Linked DNA regions of Danio rerio. The protein of the gene in region 1 purifies or fractionates together with the protein of each later gene. This does not show direct contact. Links are inferred from orthologs where the notes say so. Each region holds a gene or a part of one and is shown on either strand. Other genes may lie near its edges. The genes, in order: bcl11aa and chd3.

Region 1 (3,827 bases):
TGGAAAAAGGTATCAGTACTTTTACTCCAAGTGTGAAGCATGTATTGATGCTGCTGTGACTGTTTTGGTTTTGCTGGATATCTACACGTGTTGTACATGCAGTCATAATCCAGATGTGTGTGTGTGTGTGTGTGTGTGGTTGAGTGAAACAGTCAGTCTGAGATGTAGTTTTAAAAACCAAAACAGATATAACTTATGTTCATTTTAGTGTTATATTATCATGAATCAAGATGTCATGAACTTTTAAGGATTCATATTTTTATGATTGTGAAGTTTTGTTTTTACAAAATGTTTATTTTGTAAATTATTTTATGCTTAAATTATTATTATTATTTTTTTTTTACAATTTCTGAGGTAATCACCTTTATGATTCTGAAATTAAAAACTGAAGTTTGATTTGTAAAATATTTTTTGTGCTCCCTCATCTTGTCTGCGTTCATTACTACACCCAGTCTCTAATATTCTCTCTGCTTTTCATTCCCTCTGTGTCGCATATGGATTCTTCCTGCGTGCAGCCGAGCCCCTGTCAGCCGTGGTCTCGGAGGAGAGGCAGGAACAGCGCGGGCTGGTACAGGTAGCTCCAGAGGGAGACCAGGACCTGCTCACCTGTGGCCAGTGTCAGATGAACTTCCCTTTGGGAGACATCCTTATTTTCATTGAGCACAAAAGGAAGCAGTGCAATGGCACTTTGTGCATGGACAAAGCAGTGGATAAGCCCCCCTCGCCCTCGCACGGTGAGCTGAGGAGAGCCTCCAACCCGGTGGAAGTGGGCGTCCAGGTCACGCCGGAGGACGATGACTGCTTATCGACGTCTTCTCGAGGAATCTGTCCCAAACAGGAAAACATTACAGGTAACCTCACCCAACGTGATTTCTCTTTCATATTATAGCCTGTGTGTATCTGTTTGTGGTGAAGCAGAGTTGTTGTGTGGGCCACATATCGTAGACACATGTCCTTTCTCCATGGGGCGTCTTGGAGACGTATGAAGAGTGCTGAATATTTAAGAGCTGTGGCATAGGAAGGGGAAGGGGGTTTTTTCTGTCAAACCTCAGAGTGAGAAGCCATAACGAAGACCAAAAGAGGAATGGCATGACTTCATAGAGCAACAAACATTTGAAATCTGATTTATTATCTCAAGATCAGCGCTGCTTGGAAGCAAGAATCTCCTTGAGTTGGGATTTGGATAATTAAGCTCAGATTCGAACCGTAGATCACACATTGCCACCACTGGCTGTACGCTTCGGTTTAGCACATTTGCACTTCTCAGTCCTTTTTCTCTGGTAACTTGTCGTTCGCTTGCCACATTTATCAAATGAGGCCTAAAGTGGTAGACTTTGCCTTAAAAGTTGCAGCGCAAAGGGTGTGTTCTTTACGACACAGCAGGCTGCTCGTCTCTACGGGGTGAAAAATAGAAGGATTGAGAGGGGGGAAATTTTGGCACTGGAGGGGCGGTTCGAGGAGTCCTTGCTGTGACAAGAGAGGCCATCCTCCTCGGTGTGTGTCCACAGGCTCATGGGAAATGCCTTTCTGAGCTGCACAGCCTCTCTCATGTGGTCTCGACAGATGTATCTTGATTTCGTTGTGGGTTCTTGCACAGCCACATCTTATCCGTACAAATGCACGCCTGCACATTTTCACTTTCTGTCGAAAAAAGCAAAGGAAATGGAAGGCCGTTTGGTTATTTTGGTTTGTCAGGGAACAATAATACGACGCTAATTATTTGTTTTAGTTTTGTGGATGTGCGTTTTAATTAGCGGTTGACTTTCTGCACTATATAAAACAGGGAAAATACAGTCATAAAAGAAGGAAGTCCCTTATTTTCAACTTAAAATAAAGAAAACAGGATTTGGTTGTAGCATAAGTCTAATCTCCCTTAAGCTGAGCGTTAAGTGAATTGAACTGCTTTAAGTTGTCACTGTGCTATTATGCGTCCATGAGTGTGTCTTGGGCTGGTGAGGCGATTTAGAGTGGCTGTTTTTTTTTTAAGTGCAGAAAATGTGAGAGTGAGTCTTTCCAGTCTGTTTTTCTGGCCTGGCTTTACGTTTGGCCATTCTCTGGTCTGCCTCAAAGATCAGGTTCCAGGAAGCGTCTGGGTCCGGTTAGCCCCATCAACAGTCATTTGGACTTGACCCTTTGCTCCAGGCTAATTATCGCCGGCTCAGTTCAAGTATCAAGTTGTTTTCCAACAGTTCCCTCTCACATATTTCGAATCCTCCTAGTCTGTGTTCATGTATTAAACGTACAGTGGAACTAAATTTGATCAGATATGGAGGCTGAACGGGGTCATTTGCGTCTGCTTGCCCTCTTTGTTTTAAGCATGTTGATGCAGTTTCAGCACAAATTATACAACCTTTGTGCGAGCCGGCTATCGCGCACGTCTCTTGTTTCTGTCAGCCGCTAAACTGGGTTATTAAACTCATTTACATCATAATGTATCAGGGTTCAGCTGATAGCGTTGGGTCACTGGTATTATGTGTGCTTGTTATTATTATTTTTTTAAAACAATTTTGTGGGTAGGACCATAACAGCTTCTCAGCATGTTACTGAATCTGCTGCCGTGTCAGGTCAGACAGGGAAGAGATATTAATTAGCCATATTATAGACGATTTCAGACATAACATATTCAAGGTTAGTTATGACTGCAGCTTACCATGAATATGTAAACTAGAACACTTTGAGAGTGCGTGAGTGTGTTTGTACCTGGGTTAGAGGTGGACTTGAATGTGACAAAACTGCATTTGAAAGAGTGAGGGAAAGGTGGCAGTTCAACACTTTTAAGAAAAAGCTGGCAAACTTTTTTAAAGTTTGTTCTACCTGTTTTTTATTAATTTAATTTCTTTTTGAATGGAAAATGTTTCAAATTCAGTTTATATGTGTTATATGTGTTATTTTTTACACAGCATTTTATTATACATTTTAAGATATCATTTACATTAAAAAGTTTGGGGTCAGTAGAACTTTTAAATGTTTGAAAATAAGCTTCTCCTGCTCAGCAAGGCTTCATCTATTTAGTCAAAAATACAATAGAAAATGTAAAATTGTGAAATGTTATTGCACTATAAAATAACTGTTTAAAAGTAGTTTATAATTTATTATTTTATTGCAGTGATTTTAATGATGAATTGTTATCTTCAGCTTTACTCCAGTCTTGAGTCACTTGAGCCTTCAGAAATCACTCTAATATTAATTATTATTGTTATTATTATTATTATTATTATTATTATTATTATTATTATTATTATTATTAATGGTAATAGTAATAGAAGCAATAATGATTGGAGTAAAAGTTTCATTTGAAACTAGTAATAAATAAAAAAAAAAAAATAATTAAATAAGAAAAATGATAAATAAATAAATAAATAAATAAATATTTAATAAATAAGTATTGAACTTTATTTTTTTACGTTTAATAAAAGTCACCTTGATTAATAGAATAATTTCATTTTAATGATTAAATAAAATTTATTATTATTATTATTATTATTATTATTAATGATAATAATAATAATAATAATAATAATAATAATAATAATAATAATAATAATAATAAAAACTGACCCCAATCTTTTGACCGGTAGTGTATATTAATTAATTAATTAATTTTATTTGAATTTTAAATGTTTTAGAAGGCATTATTAGGCTGCAGTTCAGAAAACCAAATAAGGAAATTGGTATGTGTGATGTAACAACTCCATTTCCATATAGAGCAGCTCACTGTGAGGAAAAACAGTACCTGCCAGAGAGGAATGGACTTGCTGTGTGAGCACAGAAAGTGGCAACACACACACACACGCACACACGCACACATGCACACACTGTGTGTATTA
Region 2 (3,827 bases), on another chromosome or scaffold:
TAGTTAAAATAACCGCTTTTTTGCAGCTTATGTCGATATGATGATAGTACTGATGAATAACTTTAGCAGTTCAGAACATTTATACCATCAAATTCCACTTTGCCCCTCTGAAAGATGATGTCTATGTCAAACCTGTTATAACACACATATAATTATTAATTTTCCTTCATCTTAGTTCCTTGTTTATCAAAGGGATGCCACAGCGGAATGAACCAACTGCTATATTCCATCATGTGTTTTACGCGGTGAATGCCCTTCCAGTTGCAATCCAGTAATAGGAAACAACTTGCACATTCACTTATACACTCATATACCATGGACAATTTTTGTTTACCTTATTCAGCTACACCTCAGGTGACATGGTGGGGCAGTAGGTAGTGCTGTTGCTTCACAGCAAGAAGGTCACTGGTTTGAGCCTCGGCTGGGTCAGTTGACGTTTCTGTGTGGAGTTTGCATGCTCTCCCTGCGTGGGTTTCCTCCGGGTGCTCCAGTTTCCCCCACAGTCCAAAGATATGCGGTACAGGTGAATTGGATAGGCTAAATTGTCCGTAGTGTATGAGTGTGTATGGATGTTTCCCGGAGATGAGTTGCAGGTGGAAGGGCATCCGCTGCGTAAAAACATATGCTGGATAAGTTGGCGGTTCATTCTGCTCTGGCGACCCCTTATTAATAAAGGGACTAAGCCGAAAAGAAAATGAATTAATGAATAATTTAGCTATACAGCAGGCGACATGGTGGTGCAGTAGGTAGTGCTGTCGCCTCACAGCATGAAGGTCGCTGGTTCGAGCCTCAGCTGGGTCAGTTGGTGTTTATGTGTGGAGTTTGCATGTTCTCCCTGCATTTGTGTGGGTTTTCTCTGGGTGCTTTTCACATCGTTCCTAAGTGATGTTTATTTTCATATTTTCTTCAGCAGAAAATCTTATTTCTTTCAGTCTGGCTGCAATAGAATCAGTTTTTACATGTTTTTAAAAAACAATTAGGTCAATATTATTAGTCCTCTTACGAAATATAATTTTTAATTGGCTACAGAACAAACACTGTCGTCCAATGACTTGCCTAATTACCCTAACTGGCCTAATTAACCCAGTTAAGCCTTTAAACAGCACATTAAGCTGAATAGTAGTGTTTTGCTAAATAACCTGTAAAATATGTACTGTCATCATGGCAAAAACATAAGAAATTAGTCAAGACAGCTTATGTTAAGGGGCTGGTTCGAGTCCAGACTGGGTCAGTTAGCATTTACTAATTTTTGTTTATTGTTTACAATGCAAATCCAATTTGATCCACTTATTTGGTAAACAAAGCAAGTCTCCCATATTATATATCTACTAAATGACAGAAAATATTAAACTGTATTCTAAATAAATCATATCAAAATGTAATAATACTTTTATTGTATCACAATTATATTTGTGAAATTAATTAAAAAACTGGATAAATATAAATGTGCACACATTTACACAAGTAAATACATAGACTCAATGATGGGCTAAAAATTTCTGTGCGTGCCGATTCCATGTGGACCTAGTTATTGGTAAATTAAATAAACTAAATTGGCCGTAGTGTATGTGTGTAAATGTAAGTGTGTACGGATGTTTCCCAGTATTGGGTGGCACCTGGAAGGGCATTCACTGTGTAAAACACATGCTGGATAAGTTGCCGGTTCATTCCGCTGTGGCGACCCCTGATGAATGAAGGGACTAAGCCGAAGGAAAATAAATGAACTTATGTTCATTTTAAAAATGTGTTAAAAACCTTCTCTCTGTTAAACAGCACTTGGAAAATATCCAAAAAAGAATCCAATTTCACACAAGGGCTAAGAATTTGGCCTTAAATTCTGCCCTATTTTGAATATATACCCATATAAAAACCCATCGAGCTCATCTGACAGATTTACGTTTAAAGGAAGAAATGTGAGTCACTTAATTTTAATCCTAAATATTTGACTTGAAGTAATTCCTTCTGCTCTCACCATGACTTGAAATGCTCGTCATATGGAGAGCTGCATACAATATTTATCATCGTCTTAAAATTCTCTCCGTAAATAGCTTTCCATGAGAGCCGGTTGTCATAATTAGGTCACGTAGATAATCATGTTTGCGAGATTAATTCATTAAGTCCTACAGCTTAGTTAGGAGTCAGAAGTGGAATGGCTTATATTTCCTGCGCGACAGTCTCGGTCTCTGCGCCGCTCGTGTTGTTCAATAATTGAAGTGGGAAATGATTTGAAGGATACCTCGGAGGGCTCGCTGAGAATCATGGTCACTCTAGTTTCATCAGTTCTCCCGTGTTCGCTCATTTCCCTGCATCTCTCTCTTTCAGATGATGGAGACGACATTGGCGAGGCATCGGACAGGGACAACCTGGGGAAAAAGAAACGAGGGCCTAAGAAAAAGAAAGAGACGAAGAAGAAAGACAAGGAGAAAGAGGGAAAGATCGCCAAAGCACGCAAGCGGAAAAAAATTGTATGTGGCTTATATTGTTCTTCTGTCTTGATATTTAACTGGGGCTTTTATTAAACTTTGATTTAATTAATAATTCACAATCCACCAAATTTATTTTTATCGAACTACAGATGAAATGGCATGCTCATTAATTAACCCTAATTATCTGCAAATACTCATTTGTATTATCTGTAAATACAGCGGGGAAAATTAGTATTGAACAAGTCATGTTTTTTCCTGGTAATAATATTACTAAAGGAGCAACTGACCAGATTTTGGTAAAAACCCAAACAAATTCAATTACCCATTATAGAAGTTTTTACTGATCAGTTCGACATTTCTAACTCAAGATTCTTGGAAGATTCAGGCATTCAAATTAGAACTGGATAAAGTCTATCAAGGTATATAAATAGATGAAGCATGAAGAGTTTACATGCTAAAACCTCTAAAAGCCATTTGATATTTTCTTCTAGAATTAAAATTTTCTCAGACTCCTATATGTAGGCTCAGTAATTTTACTTTTGTAGTGATGAATAAGTTATTTTCATTGATTTTCAAGTAAAAAAACTGAACATAAACATAGGAGGCTGAAAAAAATGCACATTTTAAGAGAACAATTCTGACGGCATTTAGAGGTTTATGCATCTGAAATCTTTACCTGTTCTATTAACTCAAGACTCTACCTTATCAAATATAAAGTAGTACATTGGCTTCATTATTCTTGGGTTAAGCTTAACTAATTCTACCACTCCATCTCTTCTAAATGTAACAAATGTGAATCTTTTTTGGTCATGCCCAAAACTTTTTGAGTTTTGGAGTGAAATTTTCAGCTCCTACTCTAAGGCTTTTTCTTGTGAACTTGCCCCTTTTGCTTGGTCTGATTCACTTTGTGGGTTCAGTCATCAATTTAAAAAAGCTGTCCAATATGCCAGCGGTTCCCAACAGAGGAGTCCAGGCCCACAAGGGGGCCTCAGCTAGCTCTGTGGGGAGTCGTGTCATATTTTTAAAATTTTTTCAGCAGTTCATTTTATCCCCTGGCTGACCAAAATAATTGACAAATTTGTAATTCGTCCTCCACAAAAACAACTGAGTCTCACTGATTCGCCTTCAGCAGCTAGTAGTAATGACCCAAGTGTAGGGATAGTATACAGTTTAACCCAAAGAATGACCAGTCTGGTAGATGAAGAAGAGCCAGAGTCAGAGATTTAAATAAATAAATCAAGTTTACTGAAGATAGTTTGCAGTTTCATCCGAAGAAGCCAGCTTCAACACTCCCAATGAGTTCCTAGGCCGCTCTGCTTACAATCACCAATCAATAACAATTATACTCTCACATAACGTCATTAACTGCGTCATACATATAGGTGTTCTAACCTGATTGGT

Evidence for each region.
Region 2: the proteins of bcl11aa (region 1) and chd3 purify together in Homo sapiens (affinity purification with mass spectrometry; 3 studies listed by BioGRID). This does not show direct contact. The link is inferred for Danio rerio from reciprocal best matches to the Homo sapiens genes BCL11A and CHD3.

The regions. Positions count from the first base shown.
Region 1 is NC_133188.1:29,074,404-29,078,230, forward strand, and holds part of bcl11aa (BCL11 transcription factor A a), read left to right. Parts: intron 1-515; coding exon 516-851; intron 852-3,827. UniProt on the Homo sapiens protein: Transcription factor. Associated with the BAF SWI/SNF chromatin remodeling complex. Binds to the 5'-TGACCA-3' sequence motif in regulatory regions of target genes, including a distal promoter of the HBG1 hemoglobin subunit gamma-1 gene.
Region 2 is NC_133182.1:20,745,819-20,749,645, reverse strand, and holds part of chd3 (chromodomain-helicase-DNA-binding protein 3), read left to right. Parts: intron 1-2,322; coding exon 2,323-2,465; intron 2,466-3,827.